Linked DNA regions of Rhinolophus ferrumequinum. The protein of the gene in region 3 purifies or fractionates together with the protein of the main gene of each other region. This does not show direct contact. Links are inferred from orthologs where the notes say so. Each region holds a gene or a part of one and is shown on either strand. Other genes may lie near its edges.

Region 1 (7,271 bases), on a different chromosome or scaffold from region 3:
ACTACAACTCAAATATGACTGCGTTGCTAAGAAATATTAACCAGCACCTACCCTGAGGTTTCATAACACAATGGCATATATAACTTCATTTTTAATTTGCAAATTATAAGGCTTAATCAAATAGCACGACAGTAATCATCAGCAATGGATGAAATGCATTTGAGAACAAAAAGAAATACAAGGACAGAGCCAAAAGTGACGAAAATGGAAGATACCTGTAGTAGTATAGTGCTATCTTAAACACCTTTTGTTTTCTCAGAGTAATGCATACTGCAGACAAGACATTTTGTGCTAAGCAGCCCCAAATCTGTTTTTCTAATATTAAAAACAAAGGAAAAACACTGACAGTAAGCGTGGTAAATAAATCCCTCCCTTGAGAATGAAAGCAGCAGACAGGAGGGGGCTGACATACATACAGGAGAAAACTAAACACCATCTTTTTTCTACCTGCACAAGTTGCCATTTGCTGCAGCGACCGAGAACCTCTTTTTCCTGTTGATTTCAAGTACCTTTCAGGATAGCTTTTTTCCCCCTTAAGTCATCTGTTGATATGCCTTATGGGTGTAATATTCACATCGCAGGATCTTTAGGAGAAAAATCCATTCTTTCCTGCTCAGGTAAACATGTTTACAGCAGCTGCACAGACGCTGGGTGGTTCAGACTCACATGTCACACACATGTCGTCAGCAACAAGAAAAGCCCCTTTCTATGGCGATGAACATTTTAAATAAGGTAAAAAGCGAACAACCCTTTCTGAACCAACTTACCTTTCATAAAGCCACATCAGCAACAGCGGCAACAGCTCAATACAGAACACACAGTATTTGACGCTAAAACAGGAAATTAAAATTGCAATAGCCTATGCTCTGCTCCTTACTGTAACAAGTCATCTCTCACAATGAGGATACAACATATTAGTTATCGATCATAATTGTTTGATGCTTTTAAATGCAAACATTTGAATAACTACAATCATTCGTGGAAGCAGTGATTTTAATGTTGGTTCAAATATATTAAAATGTTTACGATTGGAAGGAAACATCTTGAAACAGCTTAAAACCTTCGTATCTGCTTCTAGACAGGAAATCCCACACAAAATCTAAAATTGCCAGGAAAGGTTACAAAACCTCGCGTTTCGCATCCCAGAGGGGAGGGAGAAAGAGAGGCCGGGCGCGGGGGAGGGGGCGGGGGGATCGCGAGAGTTTTTACTTAAACACATATTTCCTCATTTTCTGGAAGATACAGTGATTCCATTATAGGCGCATTTATTTCCCTACTCTTAAAAACTCGTTTTAAAAATAACGCAGGAACCCAGACAAGCCCCTCGGTCCAAATGTACGTGTAATTCCTTATATAGCCTGGGCCGCAGCCGGCGGCAGAGCCGTTGCCGCCCATTATTATACAAACAGGTACCCGGCCGGCGGGCGGGGGCCTCTCCCCGAGCTCCTGCCGCCCCCGGGCGGACAAGTCTTGCCCCTCTCGCCACAGGAACTGTCCAGACAATAACAATCAGCAGACATTTCGCTGCTGAACAGGGGGGAGAGAAAGCACAGAATCGCCCCTGAGATAAGCAAAAATACAATCAACTTACAACGTCTCTCCAAACTGGAAAAGGCCAATGTGCAACAACAACCACATGTTCGGGTCTCTCTCGCTCTCTCTCTCTCTGTCTCTCTCTTTATTTATTTAAAACTCTCACGCCAGGCCGAGGGGTGTGTATTTCCCCGGCACATCAGCACAGATCAATAAACACTGCAGCTGCAGAGCGAGCAGCCGACCCGCACGTCCGTCAGTTCGCCCTCCCCCTCCCCCACTCCCTTTCCACCCGAGTCCGCGAGCGCCATCCAAGCTCCATTATCCGGCTTCAGCGCTCCGAGCGTCCGGCTCAGGTAACAACTTCCCCAAAAACCGAAAGAGAAAAGAGAGAGGCGTACGCACACAGCCCCATCCCAGCGCGGAGAAGGAGTCTTCCCCGGGGAGGGAGCTCTGTCTGTGGTGCTTTCCTGTCTCTAACCAGGTAACAACTCCACAAACACACCCGCTGCCCGGCTCGCCGCCATCCACAGATCGCCCCCAGCAGCAAGTAGGCGCCCGCTGCTGCCCCGCCGTCCCTGCCGCCCCACCAGCGCCCCACAGGACGTGGACCTCACTCGCAGGGCTTGCCTCGGCGGCCCAGGGCGCGGTGGCCGGGGCGCGGGGGAGGAGGGGCACTTAGGGACCCGCGCCTCCGCCGCTAATCCCCACTCCGCGAGCGCGCCGGCCGGTCACAACTTTACAGCAGCGGGCTGAGCCCCGTCCGCCCGCGGCGCGCCCCGCCGGCGCCCGCGCACACGCGCGCACGGACGACACGCAGCCGGGCCACCGCGTCCCATCGCCCGCCGCGCGCCCGCAGCCGACCCACCCTGCCCGAGCCGCGGGGCCCAAGCGACGGCGCGGGCTGGGGCCGCGACGCGCGGAAGCCACTTTGCACGGCCAGCGCCGGCACAAGTTAGTTCCCGGCTCCCGGGGGCCTCGGCGCTGAGGGAGAATACGGCGGAGGGGGCTGAGGAGGAGGGGGAGCGGGGAGGCGCGAGGGGCAGAAGAGTGGGGAAAAGTGAGAAAAGAAGCAACAGCCTCTCCACCCGGGACCAGAAAAGTGGCCGCCGCGTCCCGACCGCTCGCCCTGCGCCGGGGATGCGGCGGCGCCGGCTAACGGTCCAGGGAGGCGGCAGGGGCGGCAGGAGCCGCTAGGCGGAGAGAGACCAGGTAAGAGACATAACGGTTCAGGGAGAGCGAGCGGCCGCGGCGCGGCTCCGGCAGCGGAGGGGGGCAGAGAGCACTACTTTCTACTTTCCCACTCCACTTTGCCAGTCCCTGCCCCGGCCGCCCCCAGCCCGGCTCGCCCCCCTCACCTCCGGGGCGCCCCGGCTGCCCGGCTCCCCCTGACTCCGCCGCTCCCCGGTCCCCTCCGCCACTCACCGTTATTGCGCCGCGGGTTCGCCTGCTTTCTGCGCTTACACCTGGGGCCATCCGCCATGATCCTCTCGCTTGTGTCTAAATGCTCGAGTCACCTCCTCCCCCTCCCTCCCTCCTCCCCCCCACCCCTCCGCCTCCACCCCTCCCCCCTCCCCACCGCACCTGGTTTACGACACTCGCGGCTTTACGACATCACCTTCCTTACACCTAGAGCCGCTCGCTCTACGGCCGGAACCTTGTTGCTAGGGAGAAGACGGTTTGCGGCAACACTGGAAACAGCTGTGTTTGAATTGAGGGCCGAGGGAAAAGTTTCCCTCAGGTGTCTTGGGATGGGGGAGGGAGACATTGGGAAACTGTGGGGACCTGGTCAGACGGGCGACAGGCTGTCAGACTGAGAAAGGTAAAGGAGGAGGTTCCGCCGCGTTCTGCCTGTGAACTGGCCACACCCGCCGCGAATGCTTGGGGCTCGTACGGGTCTGACCGATTCTAGTCGGGACCTTGTGTCCTCAGAGTAACCGGAACAACCTGTCTTCCCTCTTCCTCAAGGTTAGGCTCCGCTCCCACGCAGCGTTCGTCCGCTCTGCGCACCCCGGGGCTCCGCAGAGGGTCGTGCCCCGGACTCCCCCGGGAGTTGCCCGGGTTAGGAGAAGGGCAGGTTCGGGAACGGTGAAGGACTGTTTTGGGAAGCTCAGCCTCTGACCGCGAGGACGCACGGCTTCACGAGAGAGGCTACCTGACCCCCGCCCCGCCGCTCTGACTCCCTTCCATTACACGCATGGTTTTCCCCTCAGGGAACTGGGATGGGAAGTGACTTCAATTAGATAGAACTTCAGCTGGACCGAAAGAGAGGCTAGAAGTTCCGCTTGCAAGCCAGCTCGGCGGGGAAGCAAAATGAGTAATACCCACACTGCCCCTGTCTCACTTCCTCATCCACACCAGACTCACCTGTCACCTCCGCCTGCCCCCCGCCCAGCCTCCCTGCTCTGAGCGGTCCTCTGGGCTTTCCCCTTAGAGTAGTCCCACGAGATCTTGGGCGTCAAGAGTCAAAGTTAAGCTATTAACAGGCCGTGACTTACCATCTAAATGGGTAGTTACCTGTATATAGGACGTTAAGGCAACAAGCATGGCTCACAAATGCGGTCTTTGAGACTGATAGATTGCTGATCTCATCTCAAGTCCCTGACTTGGTATAAATTTGGGGGATGTCTAAAAGACCGTATAGATAACACCACAAATACCAAGGAAGTCAAGTCTGAAGTAGTCAGTAGGATTTAGCTTTCCACTTCTTCCCCCCCTCCCTTTCAAATAAGGAAAAGTCTTTGGGACCAATTTTATGAAATGAGCTGAGCTGTATTTCAAATAATATAGTTATAAATTAACAATATACGAATTATTGGTAGAGAAATTGAGAAACCTGAAACATGACACGTAGAGTACTAGAAATAAAGTTGCCCAGCACAGTGCTCTCACGGTAGGTGCTCATAAATGTATGCCTGTAATTTTTGTCATACCTATGGCAAGATTCTTTATTATGTTAAAATAATCTTTTAAACACGCTCCAGAATTTTAGAAGATTCATTAATAATCTCTTCAAACCTTTCAACTGAAATTTACAGCTGAAGTCTAGTAATTTAATATTAGAAAGTTTAATCCTGAATATGAGTATAGATGAAAATTTTCTCACTCACGTTTGCTTTGGGACTTTGAGAAGTGAATACATTATTTATTGGTGCATGAAATGTGACTGTAAATATTCTTTGCTATATATTATGTCTATATATCTACTCTCGTCCTCAGTGCCAAAACTACTCATTATTCTTTATGATCATTTAAGTACAGGCAATTCTCCCTTTCCTCAATACCATGTTAACTGAACTTGGGCATGTTAGAACCAGAAAGGTGTCCATGCTTTGCTTTATTCAAGTGGTAAGTTTCCTACTTTTTTATAACTGTGTAATGTTCTTTATTTGCCTTCTGAATCAGGTTATAGAATTTGTCCTTTGCCAACACCGCCCCCTCCCCAACAAACACAACATTTTTACAGTTACCCTAATTTCCAGTAAAAAAAAAAATACTTTCTAATTCTAGCATACATTTGATTTACTCTTAAACTTAGGAAACATCACATGCTGTTTTCTCTTTCTGCCTGTCTTGTACCTCCCTACTAAGTTTCCTTCAGTGTTCATCCTCACCTTGAAATCAGAGATAAAGTGTAAGGGACTCAGGCACAAAGTAGAAGTCATTTTCTTCCATACCTCAGTGCTTACTGGTTTACTTAGCTTGGGCCAGACTTATTTAACTCCATGTGAACAGATTCATTATTATTATTATTATTATTATTATTATTATTATTATTATTATTTTATTATTCTGTTCATGCCTGTGTCCTCAACACCTAGCAGAATACCTAGTCACATAGTAGATGCTCAGTAAGTAAATATTTTTTAAAATAAATTAATACTGTTGATCTTTTCAGAATCTGTTCTTGGCTATAAAATAAGGATTGTTTATTTACCTTCATCACATTTGTTCGTAGGAGCAGTTGAAATCATGGACATAAAAAGCTGTTTACTGTCATTTATATCCTGTCTTATTTTGAGACTAATTGGTCTTGATTTTAGATTCTGCATAATCATTTTTCCCAAATTATTAACTCAATTCACTCCTATTTTAAAAATATGTACAGGAAATACTATTGATATTCCAACTCTTCCTATACAAAATTTCAATTTTATAAAGTCCTGTAATCATGTATATTATAAACTGAATATTTGATTAATATACTTTATTGTAAATGTTCCCCAAGTTATTGAAATCTGGACTTGAAAGAAAGCAGACAAAAGTAAATCTCAGAATAAATTGCTGCTTTAAACTTGAAGCATTTGTGATAGCACTTATCTCTTAAATATAACTAAAAAATTGGAAAAAGCCTTTAAAATACATTTAGAAAAGGAATAAATTTATTAGAATTTAGGTTTATTTAAATCAAACATGGTAGGATACTAATAAGAGTTTAATGTGTATTCTGTATTGTTGGATTTTAGCAATTGTAGTGCCATCATACGATATATGCTATTCAATATATACTATTTTTAATGTCAGTGAAATGTTCACATTACTTCTAGTGAGCACTGAGATTGCATATGCTGAAGAAGAGGTATTCTGCTGAAAATGAATTACTGTAATCTTTTCTAAATTTACAGGAAAAAATGTAAATGGGTAGAATATTTTCAGTATTGAGTTTTTCCTATAAATTTTTCATGAACCCTTTGCACCTGCTATTTGCTTTCCATATGAGATTCATGTGTAAGTGAGGGTAAAATTTGACATAAAATTATTTTAAGTTTCAAATGTAGATATTCCATGGTGTTCCACATTGCGTCTGATTTCCATGTACCTAAGTTCCTGAACACATTTGACAAGTATAACTTACATCATTCTACAATCTTCATAAAAATAAAAAAGTTGGTTATTTTCATGGAAGGATAACATTAATTATGTTAATTAGGTTAATTACGTTAACATGTGATTTTAATATTAGTGCTTGAAGGAAAAAGACATTTGATACCAGTTTTCCGTCAAAGTATAGAGTTTAGAATCCCCTAAAGTTGTTCCTCAATCCTTGGCTCAATAGTGACTCTGGATATGTGTGTGGTTCACAATGAAACAAAAGAGGGCAGTCGTAATTTCGCTGCCTGCAGTTTCACCAAATTCTGCAATGACTGAGGCAGGAAGGAAATATGACTACAGGGTGATGCAGAACCGACAGTTGTCTTTAGTACCCATGATATAGCCTCCCAGGAGGGAATAATAGGGACAAATGTTTTCCCCAGACCTCCATGTGATTTTATTATCTATTGCACAACAAAATGGTATTTCCCCCTCTGGGGAACAAGGCTCCTATTTTTAATATAAGTCAATGAAATGTTAACACATGGAACTTCTTATTTGGGGGGCAATTTTTCAGGAAGATGTCTAATATGGAAAGATGTAAGTAGAAAAATAGAGAGGTTTGAAGGAGGTTAATGAACATCCAAAAAATAAAACTAATCTTTTTCATAAAATTACAGTAGTTAAAACAAATTGCTTTCAATTCCACAGTAGATTATAGTTGCTAATATTGATATCACACATGAACATGAACAGCATTTTTTCTATACTAAACAATTATAGATAATTTGTGCTAGAGAGAGAGCAACTTGCATATTTTATATTTGAGTAAATTTTTAGTATTCACCATGATATCAGAGGGCTGATACCTGTTTCTATTGTTTTTTTCCCCACTTTGTCTTCATGTATTTTTCTCTGGCATCTTA
Region 2 (7,115 bases), on a different chromosome or scaffold from region 3:
GGGGCGCGTCTCTTGAGGCTCCAGCATCTCCCCACTTTCTTGGGAGAATGGCGCAGAAGCCCCAGGAAAAGCCGCGGGGTCTCCGGGGGTCCATCTTCTGTTCGATGCTCCTCCAAAGTGGCTGCGTCTCCATCTGGGTGCAGGCAGGTGCTGCACGGGTTTCTGTGTACGCCTCCGGTACCGGTTCAACCAGCTGTGAGGGAACCCTCATCCCCCACCCTGCCTCCAACCCTACCTCGTAGGAGCCCTCCAACCTGCTGCCTGCGGGTCTCCTCGTTGCTCTCCCGTCCGTGTCCATGCATCCGTCCATCTATCGCCCGTCCGTGGGTCAGTCTCGCTTACCTGCCGGGCCGCGTCGCGCCCGCGCCAGCTCGCCTCCTGCAGCCCGGCTGGCGCGGCGGCTTTTATAGTCGCGCGTAGTACTCGTGCGGCGGCTCATTCATGCGGCCGCGGCTCCTACACACTGACGCGTTGCCGACGTCAGCAGGGAATTTAGGAAACGGGAAGAGGGGCTATTTATAGAGGCGAGGGGGGTGGGGACCGAGGCGATGAGGAGCTGGATGAAGAGCTGGGAGGTGGAGGAGGGTGCATGGAAGCAGGAACGGGGGGCGGGAACCCATGCCCCATGTACCGGTCTACAAGGGGTTAACTTTCCGGAACTGCGGGCTGGGGACCCGCGAGAGGATAATGCGGGGGGGCTGACGGGTCCCTTACATATTTATTCACTCTGCGACACCTGGGATGCAACCCTACTCCAGCCCAGCCTTCCAAGGTCCTCACCGGGTAGTACCCAATCCTACTCCTTAGTTTCTGGACCCGAAGGCTCTGTGACGTCACAAGATGTCCCACGGCGGCGTTATACTCCAATGGTCACTGCGGTGTTGTCACCCTGAGGAGTGAGGCAGGAGAGGAAGCTCCAGTGTGTGTGGGAGGGGGCGGGGGTGAGGGCGCTAGGGCAGCACCTAGAGCTATGGTGTGGATAGGGGAAGAGTAGGGAAACTCAGGGATCTCGAAAGGCTTTGTAGGAAGAGGCTGGGCCTGGAAGGAATGCCCAGTGGGGGTCCAGGTATCAGTTGGGAGCTGGAGACAAGAGGGAAGGCAGAAAATTGAAGAGGGTGGCTTGGACTCGCTGGAAATGAGCAAGGGGGTCCTCTGTGGGGGAGGTGGGGAAAAGATGGCAGGAGAAGGGGGGGCAAAAGGAAGAGGAAGCCTCAGCAGGTAGAGAGGAGGACAGGTCCCCTAGTGTCAGTGTCAGACCCTGGCACTGCAGACCACGTTTAGGACCCATTTGTGGAATGGTGGCATTGACAGAGCTCATATGGGGGTGATAATGAGTGAGGGCTCCGCAGCTTGGCAGAAACAGGTCTGGGGGGGGGGGCAGGGCAGAGGAGTTCGAGTTCCTGGAAATCAGAGTGGGCAGGAAGGGCCCATGCTATGTGGGTGGGAGTTCCTCTGGAGAGGACCAGGGAAACGAATGATCCTGGTCCACCCTAGCTCCATCAATTGAGATGGGCTCTCAATCAGGGAAGGGGAGTGCATTGAAAGAGAGGAGCTGGATTGGGATGGGGAGGGGGCAGTGCTAGGCCAGGGCAGGTGGAACTAGGGAAAGGTCAAAGACTGAAGAGTGAAGCCCACAGGAAGGTAGCTAGGCTGGGGCATCTGTGAGACCCTCCCATACAGATGTAAGGACAAGGGCTGGGGCAGTGAGCTAACTTGGAAAGCAGGGATCCAGGTAGAGTGTTGAAAAAAGACAAGGAGGGCCGGCCAGGTGGCTCAGGTGGTTGGAGCTCGGTGCTCCTAATGCCAAAGGCTGCTGGTTCGATTCCCACATGGGCCAGTGCCAGATGGCTCAGTTGGTTAGAGAGCATCCTCTCAACCACAAGGTTGCCAGTTTGACTCCCACAAGGGATGGTGGGCTGCGCCCCCTGCAACTAAGATTGAAAGGACAACAACTTGACTTGGAAACGTCCTGGAAGTACACATGTTTCCCAATAAATTCCCCTTCCCCTTCCCCAATAAAATCTGAAAAAAGGAAAAACACAAGGATAGTGGGCACATGGGTCCACAGTGGACAGAATCCACCACCACACAAAAGAGACACAGAGCTGAGGGGCAACTTGTGAGGCTAGGATCTTACCCCATCAAGAGGATAAAAGATTACAGCAGAAACAAGGTTAGAGAGGTCCTCCATACTCTTTGGGGTCTGGCTGACTAGAGTTTTTTGTTTGTTTGTTTGTTTGTTTTGCCTCCAGGCTTCCTCCCAGAGGTTCTCTTCTCCAAGAATGCCTTCCTGCCTGGCGGGAGAACTCCTCTTCATCCATCAAAGCCCAGTTCTAAGAGCACTTCTGAGGACCCTTCCCACCTCTTTCCAGCACTCCTTTCACTTTTCCGTCTCAGCGCACAGCACGTCCCCCTGCGGTAGGGGTCTGCAGCTCAGGAACCCCATTTTCATTTTTGGAACGTTACTACTTCCCTAGTGAGGCCATCATGGGAAGACAGAAGAGAGGATTAGGATAAGATTGATCCAGAACACAGACTGGAAACAGGGTGAGGGCGGACTCCGCGGTAGGAATGGGGACTTGCGGGGACCAGGAGCCGCCTCCTGGCCCCGAGGCCATGAAGTCTCTCGTGGAGGAAAGGGAGCCTCTGGGGGGCGCCAGAGCCTTTGGTGTCCGTCAGGGACCGCGAATGGCACCGCCGGCGTCCCCTCAATGAGTGATTCAGCCACTACCTCTAGCGGGGCATCGGGGCGGAGGGCCGCATGGGGGGCGGCGAGCATGGCCCCCACCCGCCCAGCGGCCCTGAGCGGTTGTTATGTTCTCCAAGGCCTTGGAGAGACGCGATCTGGGCGAACCTCAACGGTTACTATGGTAACTCTGCGACCCAGCCTCTAGCGAGGCAGCTGAGGAAGGCGCAGCCAATCAGCAGCTGCAGGCGTTCTCAGGGACCCACTCCCACCCCCCACGTGTGGGCGGGGGTCAGGAGGTGCGGGGAGGAGGAGGAGCGTGGGCCGCAGCGAGACCCCGCGCCGCTACCAGCTTGATGCGGGCTACTGGGCTGCGCGGGGACGCTTCCGGAGTAACCCTGCAAATGCCTGTGCGCCAGTGCGGGGTCCCCTTCCTCCCACAAGAGGTGTCACCTACAAGAACCGGGCCTTCACGCGGGGTGCAGGACCTTGCGGGGGATCCCGGGCTGCAGGCCCTCCTGTCACGTTTCTCTCGGATCGGTGTGTTGGAGATGAAATCGTCCAAGCAGGTCCCTCAAAATGGCTCACTCGGGAATCTGGGGGCTGCGCTCGCTTCCGTGGGATCCCCAAAAGACACTGTCCAGCAATTCCCAGTCGAATATCCTATGGCCCCTCTATAGATCTGCAAGTTCAGTGTGGCCTGTTTGGGTAACGTGTCTGTCCAGGTTAACGGAGGGCCCTACGTGGCAGCCCCCAGAGTATTACAGAGAGCCGGGACTTGGACTCCGGAAGGGGGCAGGCAGGTGTATCTGTGCAAATTTGCGCGCCCGCAGGTGTCAGTACCTGGAGAGGATCTGGGTGCAAACGGGTTTATTCTGTGCATGTGTCATTTTAACTCGTGTCTGAATGAGGATATGTGTGTTTGGGGGTGGCTACAAATGGACAGTCCCATCCAGGAATGTCTAAGTAGAGTCCCCCAAGATCTTGTCTATCTTCCTCTTCCTTAGGATTTCCGTAACCACCCTCCCACCATCTACTGTCACCAGAGTCTTCTCCTTGAGGGCAGGACTTCTCCGAATTGGGGCAATGTGAGAATCTGCAAATATGTACACCGGAGCATTTAGCTCAAAACCTCGGGGTTTGTGGGGCTCGCAGGTCCGGAGCTTGGGTTCCCAGTCGGGCATATCCGGGAGGGTGAATCTGCGAATAGGCCTCCCTGCAAGATCCAACTCCGCATCTGCGAGCCTCCAGCCCAGGTGCGCGAGAGGGAGGTCATGGCTGTGTCGCGCAAAGCTCCGCGCGACCGCGAGGTGGCTCCATAACTGCAGCAGAACCCGCCGGCCCGGGCCGCTCCAGATAAGAGTGTGCGGAAAGCGCGGCGGGGCTGAGACGCGACCAGGACGTGGGGAGGACGGACCAGCAGGACAGACCGACCGGGGGCCCGGCGGGCGGAGGGCAGCACAGCGCAGCCACGTCCCCCCTGGATCCGCCGGCAGCCGGGCCCGGGGCTTCCGACATGCCCCCCAGGTGGGTCCTCGGGCTGGGGACCGGGAGGGACAGGGGACCTAGACAGCCCGGTCCTCGCGCGCTGACCGCCTCGGGCGCATCCTCCGGCGCGGCCGTCCCAACGCGGCTGGCGTTCGGAGCTCCGAGTGTCGCCCCTGGAGGACTCAGGACCACAGGGTCGCTGTTCTGCGCCGGGTTCACGGCGGGGTCAGCGGCCCCGGCCGGCTCTGCCCGCACATGGGCTGGAGAGGCGAGGGGAAGGGAAGGGGAGCTGGCGGGCGGGGCTGGCAGGGGCGCTGCCCTGGCACAGTTCGGCGCCTGGCAGCGGGGCGGGTGGGGCACGGGCAAGGAGCTGCCACCACCGCGGGGAGGGAAGCCCGGTCGGGCTGCGGCCGCAGGTAACGGGCCGCGAGGCCCTGCGGGCCAGGCGGGGAACAGGGGAGGGCGGGCGAGCGGGCGGGCAGGGTAGCTCAAGGCTCGACTCAGGCCCTGCGGTCGCCGGGCTGCCAAAATGGGGGGCGAGAGAAAAAGCTGGGAGCCGAGGGGACTGGGGCTGGTGCGCCCCTCCCGGCCTGTCTGAAGTTGGGAAACTTTTCCCCAAGTTTGGGGCGGCGGAGTTCCCGCGGAGAAGGGGAGCTGGGGAGGGTGGCGCCGGTCTGCGAATGCAGACCTAAGGCCGAGGCCCGGCCGGGACGCGGGTGGGGCGCAGGCCGAGGTCAGGGCCGCAGCCGGCTGCGCGCCGTGCCCGCCCGGGGCGCTGCCCCCTCCCTCCCCTGGGAGCTGCGTGGCTCCCCCCTCCCCCCCACCTGCTTCCTGCCTCAGCCTCCTGCCCCGATATAACGCCCTCCCCGCGCCGGGGCCCGGCCTTCGTGCTCTGCCCGCCACGGCAGCCGCTGCCTCCTCTCCTGGTGCCGCGGCCGCCGCCCGGGCCCCAACTGAGGGCCTGACAGCCCCCGGCCAGGGCGGCGCCACGGCGGCCACGGCGCTCCCCTCCTCCGGATCACTTCCCCCAACTGGGGCAACTTCTCCCGAGGCGGGAGGCGGTTTTCACTCGTCTGCCTTAGATCCCACTTGGGCAAACTTCTCGGCCCTGAATGACTTTTCCTGAAGCGGACATTTCCCTCAAATCGGGTAACTGTCTCCGAAAGGGTCACTTCGCCCGAACAGTTTTCTCCTTGGAAGCCCCCCAGAAGCCAGCCTGTGTGCCCGGTACCTCCGGGCCTGGGGTGCAGGCCAGCCTGGCCTCCTCTCCACCAGCCACTCTCCTGCTCCTTCTTCTGGTCTGGGCCTCCGGCCCAGGCTCCCACACTCAGAGGCCGCTGATCCTCCGCCAGTGCCCAGGCCACGGTGCTCGATGCCCGTGCCTAGCTGAGGGGAAGGGAAAGTGGAGGGGAGACGCGCCGGGCTGGGGACCAGCAGCGAGGGCTCGGTGCGGCTCTGAACCGGCTGGTGTGTGTCCCCGCAGGAGATTGTGCTGGGCAGAGGATGCTGGACACGATGGAGGCTCCCGGCCACTCGAGGCAGCTGCTGCTGCAGCTCAACAACCAGCGCACCAAGGGCTTCTTGTGCGACGTGATCATCGTGGTGCAGAACGCCCTCTTCCGCGCGCACAAGAACGTTCTGGCGGCCAGCAGCGCCTACCTCAAGTCCCTGGTGGTGCATGACAACCTGCTCAACCTGGACCATGACATGGTGAGCCCAGCCGTGTTCCGTCTGGTGTTGGACTTCATCTACACCGGCCGCCTGGCTGATGGCGCAGAGGCTGCTGCTGCGGCGGCAGTAGCTCCGGGGACCGAGCCGAGTTTGGGCGCCGTGCTGGCTGCGGCCAGTTACCTGCAGATCCCCGACCTCGTGGCGCTGTGCAAGAAGCGCCTCAAACGCCACGGCAAGTACTGCCACCTGCGGGGCGGCGGCGGCGGCGGCGGTGGTTATGCACCCTACGGGCGGCCAGGCCGCGGCCTGCGGGCTGCCACGCCGGTCATCCAGGCCTGCTACTCGTCCCCAGCCGGGCCTCCGCCGCCGCCCAGCGTTGAGCCGCCGTCGGGTCCCGAAGCCGCAGTGAACACGCACTGCGCAGAACTGTACGCCTCCGGCCCCGGCCCGGCGGCCGCACTCTGTGCCCCGGAGCGCCGCTGCTCCCCACTCTGTGGCCTGGACCTGTCCAAGAAAAGCCCATCGGGCTCCGCGCCTCCGGAGCGGCCGCCTGGTGAGCGCGAGCTGCCCCCGCGCCCAGACAGCCCTCCCAGCGCCGGCCCCGCAGCCTACAAGGAACCACCGCTTTCTCTGCCTCCACTGCCACCGTTGCCCTTCCAAAAGCTGGAGGAGGCTGTAGCACCTCCGGACCCGTTCCGTGGCGGCGGCGGCAGCCCAGGACCCGAGCCCCCCGGCCGCCCCGACGGGCCCAGCCTCCTCTACCGCTGGATGAAGCACGAGCCAGGCCTAGGCAGCTATGGCGACGAGCTGGGCCGGGAGCGGGGGTCCCCAGGGGAGCGCTGCGAGGAGCGCGGCGGGGACCCGGCATCCTCGCCCGGGGGGCCCCCGCTCGGCCTGGCTCCACCACCGCGCTATCCGGGCAGCATGGACGGGCCTGGCGCGGGAGGCGACGGTGATGACTACAAGAGCAGCAGCGAGGAGACGGGCAGCAGCGAGGACCCCAGCCCGCCTGGCGGCCACCTCGAGGGCTACCCATGCCCGCATCTGGCTTATGGAGAGCCTGAGAGCTTCGGTGACAACCTGTACGTGTGCATCCCGTGTGGCAAGGGCTTCCCCAGCTCAGAGCAGCTGAATGCGCACGTGGAAGCGCACGTGGAGGAGGAGGAGGCGTTGTATGGCAGGGCCGAGGCAGCTGAAGTAGCTGCTGGGGCTGCGGGCCTCGGGCCCCCTTTTGGAGGCGGTGGGGACAAGGTCGCTGGGGCTCCCGGTG
Region 3 (7,947 bases):
TAACATTTTGATATGTAACTTTCCATACTTTTTCCAAGCCTCTACAGCTGTATTTGCATATGGGTTTGTATATAGGTGTAGTTTTTTTTTTAAATAATATAAAGGGGATATTTATTAAATAATGAAAGATGATAACATACATATTTTTCGTGCAACTTGCTTTTGTCTCACAAATGTTCATATATCATACACATTCCTCAAAACAACAGATCTTTTTAATGGTTACATAATGTGCCACAGCACGTGTGCACCATAATTTGATCAACAGGTTTACTATTGAAGATATCTGGATTGTTTCTTGACTTTTTCCCAGTAATATTAATGCCATAATAAACATTCTTGTATTCATATCCTACATATTCGCATTTTCATTTCTTTAAGATAAATGGGATTTTGGATTGAAATGTATATGTATATTTATAATTTTAATAAATATTTTCAGATTACTTTCCCACGCTATGACAGCAATGTATGAGAGTGTAAGTTTCCCTGTATCCTGGTGAGAGATGGTAACAATAAAATTTGTTTTGTTTTTGCCTATTTGAGGAATGAAAAATAGTACCTCATTGTTTTACTTGCATATCCCTGACTAGTAAATTAGAACACATTTAAAATTTTTATGGTGTCAAATATATATATTTTAAATGGCTCCTATCTTATTTAAGAAGCTTTCTTGATAAAAAGTTACATAATATACTAAAATGTCTTATATTTCTATTGTATTTTTTCATTTAGATCTTTAATCTACCTGGAATTTATTTTTATATCTAGTGTGAAGTAAGACCTGTATTTATATTTTTCCACATTAATAACCAGTTATGCCAATACCACTTTTTTTAGTACATAAAGTTGATACTAACTTCTCCATTAATTGTAGTCACATAAGACTGATACCAAAGCTATAAGGCCAATTTATTTGTTTACATAAACAGAGATTTCAAGTCAGCCAGAATATTAATGTTGGCTCTTTGACCATTTTCTCCCCAGTGGGTAATTCTACATGGGAAACTAAATTACTGTTGAAGGCTGCTCAGGGGGATTAGGTCTAGAAAACAAATTAAAAATTTTAGGGACTAGTGTCTGAGTCTGTGACAGCCTTTGATATAATAAAATATAAACACTTTGTCCACTCTTCCTGATACAGAACTCCTAATACTCTTGGAATTTCCTTAATGATAAGAAGGTCTTTTATTCTTTTCACCACTCCTGAGTTTATGCTAGTGAGGTAGCTTAGGGTGGGGTCCCCAGAAAGCCTCAAGATGAGGCCAGAAACCAGAAAGACCACGTGATTAGAAGGGGGAACTTTTAGCCCCACTCCCAACCTCCAGGGAAAGGGGCAGGTACACTGGAGACTGAACTCTATAGAAACTCTTAACAAAGAGATTCAGAGCTTCTGAATTGGTGAACACATCCATGTACTGGGAGGGTGATAAGCCCCAACTTCATGGGGACAGAAGTGCAAGACCTTTCTGGACCTTGTCCTGTGTACCTCTTCATCTCTGCCTGTTCGTTTGTATCCGTTGGAAGGATACAGAAAATACATTTACTTTGTAAATGTAAGTCATGTATCTTCCTGAGTTCTGTGAGCCATTCTAGGCAATTACTGAACTTTAGAAGGATGTCATGGGAACTCCCAGTTTCTATGCACTTCATCAGAAGTACAGGTGGTCTGGGACTTATTGGCATCTGAGGTGGGGTAGCCCTGTGAGACTTAGCCCCTAAACTGTGAGGTCTTCACTAACTCCAGGTAGTGTTAGTGTCAGAATTGAGTTGAATTGTTGAATACACAATTGGTGTCTGGACAATCAGAGACTTGGTTGTTGGTGTTGGAAAACACCTCACAGTCCAATGTTATGTCACCTTGTCAAACAGAGTATCAGAAACATGTCATATGTTTTACTAACTTTCTCACCTGAACTGTGCTGAGAACAAAGTGAATTTCCCTGTTTCGCTTCTTTCTTTTTTTTTTTAGGATCTATGCCAATAATTCTTTTCCTATATGGAAACCTTCACTTAGATTCTTCATTTATTCCATTCAATAAATACACATATATGTGCCAGTTATTCCACTAGAGAGCTAATGATACAGAGTTGAACCAGATGAACAAAATTCCTGCTGTAGTTGGGGGAGGAAGTCAACAAAACACAGAGAAAAATAAGTTAAGGACTAAAATAGGGGAATGTGCTTTATAATGTACTGAATAGGGAGGACAGAGGCATAGGCAAAAAAAGTATGACAAATACATGGCAGGCATGTATGTATTTTAAATGCTTCCAGAGTTATTTTGTACATATATAAGCAAATACATACATATATACATGTATACACATATGGTCTTCCTTCCACACTCCCCCTTTTATTTTTTTCACAAATAGCACTACACTATATACACTATTCTACATATTGCACTGTGCAGCTTGGAGATCATTCCATACAAGAACTTAAAGAGTGTCCTCATTTCAAAAAAAAATGGCTTAATAATATGAAAAGCTCAATTTAGAGTATATTAATGCTAAAAATATTTACAAGGCTTAGGCCAGATTCATGGAAGATTTTAAAAAAACTGAATATGAACTTGTAATAAAATAAAATAATCGGTCTTTCTGACTCCATCTTGCTCGTGCCTGACGTGTTAGTTAGCAACTTCTGCTTAGTCCTGCATGTAGATATGCTAGTCATCTAACCTGTAGCCTAGAACTTACTGAAACAACCTTCCTGCTTGAAACTACCTCCCTAAGGAGATAAGGAAGGTATGTACAAAAATATTGTTTATCAAAATTTTTATAGGAATCTTGTGACTAAGATCACGGCAACCAGAGTTTGAAGTTTCATCATCCCCCTTGGACCCTTGCTGACCTCCAGATGTCTGAGCTCATCAGTCACATCCTGACCTCAAACCCCTCCTGTTCCCCCTTTCCCCTGACATAAAAGAAACCTGCATTCTCTATCTTCTCAAGAGAAACCTTTAGGACTCTAGTCCACTATCTGCTCGGCTTTCTGAATAAAGTCGTTTCCCTTGCCCCAACGCCTTATCACTTGACTTACTGGCTGTCCTGTGGTGGTACGAGCTTTCACTCCATTACAAATTTGCAAGCTTTAGGCACAAAGAATGACTTGAATTTCAGGCAACTAGTTCTCAACTACTGGTAGACCAGAAGTCTAATTACGTTTGTTTTATAATACAATTTCTATCTCTCATTTATTCTACTTGCCATGAGTACCCCATTTCTGACATTTCAGCACATTAGTGATCATATAGCATTTCATAAACACCAGCAAGTATCTTTGATAATATATATATATGTGTACACACACACACAAATATATATATAAGTAAAAGAATGTCCATAAGCTTACAAACGTCTATCTCAGAAAAGCTGGGAATTTTGTTTCTATTTTGATGGGATACTGCCTCTCAACATTTCATATATTACAACCCACCAATGTGGTTGAGAATCAATATATAAAATATCTTGTAGGATAAGATAGACAAAGTGGAGAGACAACAGGGCCAAGTACGTCAGCCAGGAAGGATGAGGTGCCTGTGTAATTAGGAATTGGAAAGAGTATAGGAGGGAAGGAAGAACAGGATTTGGTACTGATTGTATAGAGGGCATCAATCCGAAGGAACACTTCTAAGATGATTCCAAGGCTTCCAGGAAGAAAGAGATCACTTTCAGAAATGAAAAGAAGTGACCAGTTGTAAGGGGAGATTCCTAACTTAATTTGAGGTACAAAGACTTTAGATGGGACCTCAGAGATACATTTCCAACATTGTAATTTTTTTTTTTAAGAATGAAGAAACAGCAAGTTGTTTGCCTAAGTTCGCACAAGTTAATAGGCGTGGCAGGCAGGACCCACATTACGCTTAAGGGATGGTTTACTGTAAGCTCGGAGAGGTCCTGTAAACGGATAGAAACCCAGTGCGCGAGAGGCAGATACCCTACCAAACACTGACTCCAAACCTGCCAAATTTTATTACATGGGTCCCTAGTGAAAGCTAGATACGGAGTGACAGAGTCCTGGAATTTCAGGGAAAGTGGAAAATAGAGAGGCAACAAGTAGGGAAAGAACTATTTTCTAAACTACCATGTACCCGTCATTTTACATCTGGCTATCTCATTTAATTCTCACCACAACAGTATTACCATTTTTTAGCGATGAAACCAAGCTAGAAGGGAAGAATCTCCAATTGCAACCGAAACCCAGATGTGTATAGGGGCCAAGTCATGCTCATCCCGCACTCTCCTTATGCTGCCTCACCTGACCCAATACACTCATTTTAACGAAGCCCGCTCAAGGGAACACCCACACATTTGTCAAAGGAGTTGTGTGTGTGTGTGTGTGTGACACATACCATTGGGGATTTTACAACTTACACTACACTACAAGTGGAGAGTAGGGGGAGAAGCCATCAGCTAAGAGGAGAAGCAAGGAGAGAGAGGAGCTGTCAGAATGGTGTGAGGAGTGAACTGTGTCCTTCTGCTTCTACTCATACCCCTAACAAGGAGACTATCCAACACACTTGAGGGAGCTAAACCTTGGCCAGCTTCATTCCTTATTGCCTCTCAGGAACTACGATTTAACCCTTAATCTAGAACAAGCGAGGTGAGCACTTCAGACAGAAGTGGAAACCCGCAGTGTGAACCAAAATTTGAGCCGTGCCAGCGGCAGTGACTTCAGGACGGTTTGAAAGACAAGTTGAGAAACGGGCGAGTTTGGCTGCATCACGCGCCTGAAGCCAAGCGGTGGGGCCGCAGCAGCTCCTGCGGCTTTTCCTCTCGGCCCACGCCGCCTCCGCCCGCCACGTGACCCACCGTGTTGTGGTGAGGCCCGCGTGGGTGGCGGGAGCCGCGGGAGGGCGGAGGCGGCGAGAGGTGGGTCACGTGACAGCGTTTAAATCTCCCGCAGCCGGAGCCGCGGGGGCGCCACTGCCGCGAGTCGAGCGAGAGCAGAGGAGGTGAGGAAGGAGGGCCAGAGAGGCAGTTGGAAGATGGCGGACGAGGCGGCGCTCGCCCTTCAGCCCGGTGGCTCCCCTTCGGCGGTGGCGGCCGAGAGGGAGGCCGCGTCGCCGCCCGCCGGGGAGCCGCTTCGCAAGAGGCCGCGGAGAGACGGCCCCGGCCTCGGGCGGAGCCCGGGCGAGCCCGATGGGGCGGCCCCAGAGCGTGAGGTACTGGCGGCGGCCGGGGGCGGCCCGGCGGCGGCGGCGGCGCTGTGGCGGGAGGCGGCGGCGGCGACGGCGGGCGGGGAGCGGGAGGCCCAGGCGGCGGCGGCGGGCGGAGGAGACAATGGGCCGGGCCTACAGGGCCTATCCCTGGAACCACCGCCGGCCGATGATTTCGACGACGACGACGACGAGGGCGAGGAGGAAGAAGAGGCGGCGGCGATTGGGTACCGAGGTGCGCAGGGCGCGGGCGGCTGGGACTGCGCATTCCCTCCTCCCTCTCCCGGGGCCCCTCCTGGTGTGGGGTGGAGGGGTCTCGGGTGGGCAAGGGCTCAGGGCTGATTCTGCCGCGACCCTCTCCTTACCACGGCCCTCAGCTGCGCGCCTCCGGGGCTGCCGGCCTGGTTGCAGGAGCGGCCTGCGGACTCGCTCGCTCCCTCCCTCCCGTCCGTCCCTTAGTCCGCGGCCCGCCTTAGCGGCCTCGCGCTTTGCGCAGCCGCCGGGCGGGGAAGCTCTCGCAGGTTTTAAAATAAGTTTCTTTCCCCTCCTACTTTTTTAGCATATTGCTTTTATTTAACATCATTCCCACCCTTCATCCCAGCCCCCAGCACTCCTAAATCTGCAACTTTTGCTTATCCCTTGCACCGACTTTTTGCAGTTGTCTTTGCAAATTGACACCTGTGCAATTTGTGACTTTTTGGGGGGAGGGTCTTTATTTTTAAATTAGTCTTGAAATTGGAAGAGCAAAGCTATTTCTAATGTAATAGCCTCCAAATTTTGAAGAGCTTAGCTGTTTCTAAAGACATTACTCTTGTGGTGCAATTAATAGTGGACGTAGAAGAGTGACAGTACTTTGAATAGTATTTTTCCTCTAATCATGTTCTTAAAATAGTTTTAGGATTAGGTATAATCCTTTATTGTGTGTATATGTAACCCTGAAATACGACTGACATATTTTGGCATACTAAAGCAGATGTGTTAGTTGTATATGTCATGTCATCTTTGAGGATTTCATATTTTCGATGTGAGGAGTTTCTGTCCTGGATAGATGTGCTCTTCATCATTTGTATCAGTAAATTTAATCAATGGACCATTGGACTGTATTTAAAGGTAACATGCATTAGAGACTTGATTAATAAGAAGACCTCATTCAAGAAACAGTCGAATAGGGAAAATGAATAATGCAAAGTTATCTTTGTATGTTTAGTATTTTATAAGAGAAGTGCAGATTGCCCTAGTTACTTGGAACAAATTTTTTTGGTTTTTATTTGACAAGTTTCATGAGCTCTATTATTTGTGATTGATAAATTCAGTCTAACTAGATTAGTACTTCTTGTGTTTTGATTAAGTAAACTTATGTCTAGATTTTTGTGTGAACTGAAACTTTTAGATTGTGGGCAGAATCCCTAAAGATGAGGATATATACTGTGCCTATGAACGGTGCAAGCAGACCTAGTAGGCATTCTTTACACAGGCAATATGAATGTTAAGTGCTTCATTCATTGAAAATTGTTGCATCATAACCACTGTAGATCTTCATATATTTTAGATGCAGACTGTTTCAGTAGCTTTGAGTTACTTTTGGTTTCTTTTGTAGATAACCTTCTGTTTGGTGATGAAATAATCACCAATGGTTTTCATTCCTGTGAAAGTGATGAGGATGATAGAGCCTCACATGCAAGCTCTAGTGATTGGACTCCAAGGCCACGGATAGGTATGGTTCCACAGCTTTTAGAAAGTAAATGTCTTTTTCTTTGTTTTAATTTTAACGCCAACTAAAAATATAATTCTCTGCCCCCTTATAACCTAGTTATTAGGTTCCTTAGGTGCTTGCTGGATTTAATGTCAGCTTATTTTTCTAGGGAAAGTCTAGTGCTTTGTTTTTATTTTTAAACAGCTCAGGCCCATGGAAACTGGCCTCTGGTATTTCTCAAACAACCAGGTCCTTCTCACAACTTGGGTCCTTGGGTCCTCTTCGCTGGTACTCAGTGTGGAATGCTCTTCCTCTAGAGTATCTTGCTTCCTCACTTCCTATCCATTCTTCATTTTTTTCTTAACACATCATCACTTCTCAAGCTTTGTATCTTAACTTTTTTATTGTGTTTCATATACTAAAATATACTCGGAAACCAGTTGGGGGCAGGGATTTTTGACTGATTTGTGTACTATTTTGTTAGTACCTAGGTAAGTGCCTGGCACATAATTTGTGTTCAGTGAATCCGTATTAAGTATGTGGATAAAATGGGAAAGTATTTTGAAATAGAGAACACTATTCAGATTTTTATTACCAGTTATAACATGACCATCTTGAAAGTGATCTTTCTCTTAATGTGCTCTCATTCTTGACTATTTAAATATAGTGATGGATAGTTCCTTTTTAGGATCCATAATATTTACTATATTTTTGGTTTTTTTCAAGCTAGGATACTGATTTAAGAAATGCCAGGCGAAAAAATATTAATGCTCAAAACCAGCACTGTGTGTATCATTTTGGGAGATTGATTAAGATCAAATTGAAGATTATTACTGGAAAAATTTTAAAAGATAGTAGTTATGTATAGATTTATTTTAGGTAGATATTTAGATATCCTTTTCTTTTTCCCTATGTCTTTAATGATAAACAGTATGGGATTTCGGGACTGGTAAGATCTATCCTATATTGATTTGGAGAACCCTTTTGTACATATTCGTGTTATTAATTACAGTGTGTATTTCTGGATTTTAATGATTGAAATTTAATTCTGGCAATTAGTTTGACTCCTAAAATACATAGCTTGAGGGG

What was found. Proteins that work in one complex are often made in the same cells at the same time.
Region 1: the proteins of SIRT1 (region 3) and ZEB1 purify together in Homo sapiens (affinity purification with western blotting; 4 studies listed by BioGRID, with this or other methods). This does not show direct contact. The link is inferred for Rhinolophus ferrumequinum from reciprocal best matches to the Homo sapiens genes SIRT1 and ZEB1.
Region 2: the proteins of SIRT1 (region 3) and HIC1 purify together in Homo sapiens (affinity purification with western blotting; 4 studies listed by BioGRID and IntAct, with this or other methods). This does not show direct contact. The link is inferred for Rhinolophus ferrumequinum from reciprocal best matches to the Homo sapiens genes SIRT1 and HIC1.

The regions. Positions count from the first base shown.
Region 1 is NC_046288.1:2,887,995-2,895,265, reverse strand, and holds the start of ZEB1 (zinc finger E-box-binding homeobox 1), read right to left. Parts: upstream 3,080-7,271; 5' UTR 3,017-3,079; coding exon 2,959-3,016; intron 2,054-2,958; exon of another isoform or gene 1,949-2,053; coding exon of another isoform or gene 1,939-1,948; intron 1,142-1,938; exon of another isoform or gene 775-1,141; coding exon of another isoform or gene 768-774; intron 641-767; exon of another isoform or gene 464-640; coding exon of another isoform or gene 448-463; intron 1-447. UniProt on the Homo sapiens protein: Acts as a transcriptional repressor. Inhibits interleukin-2 (IL-2) gene expression. Enhances or represses the promoter activity of the ATP1A1 gene depending on the quantity of cDNA and on the cell type.
Region 2 is NC_046304.1:15,995,230-16,002,344, reverse strand, and holds the start of HIC1 (hypermethylated in cancer 1 protein), read left to right. Parts: upstream 1-4,213; intron 4,214-4,502; coding exon of another isoform or gene 4,503-4,590; intron 4,591-5,014; coding exon of another isoform or gene 5,015-5,139; intron 5,140-5,657; 5' UTR 5,658-5,677; coding exon 5,678-7,115. Other genes in the region: uncharacterized protein LOC117012891, read left to right, coding at 3,791-4,213, 4,503-4,590, 5,015-5,139. UniProt on the Homo sapiens protein: Transcriptional repressor. Recognizes and binds to the consensus sequence '5-[CG]NG[CG]GGGCA[CA]CC-3'. May act as a tumor suppressor. Involved in development of head, face, limbs and ventral body wall.
Region 3 is NC_046299.1:46,617,729-46,625,675, forward strand, and holds the start of SIRT1 (NAD-dependent protein deacetylase sirtuin-1), read left to right. Parts: upstream 1-4,934; 5' UTR 4,935-4,994; coding exon 4,995-5,400; intron 5,401-5,530; exon of another isoform or gene 5,531-5,626; intron 5,627-6,762; coding exon 6,763-6,879; intron 6,880-7,947. UniProt on the Homo sapiens protein: NAD-dependent protein deacetylase that links transcriptional regulation directly to intracellular energetics and participates in the coordination of several separated cellular functions such as cell cycle, response to DNA damage, metabolism, apoptosis and autophagy.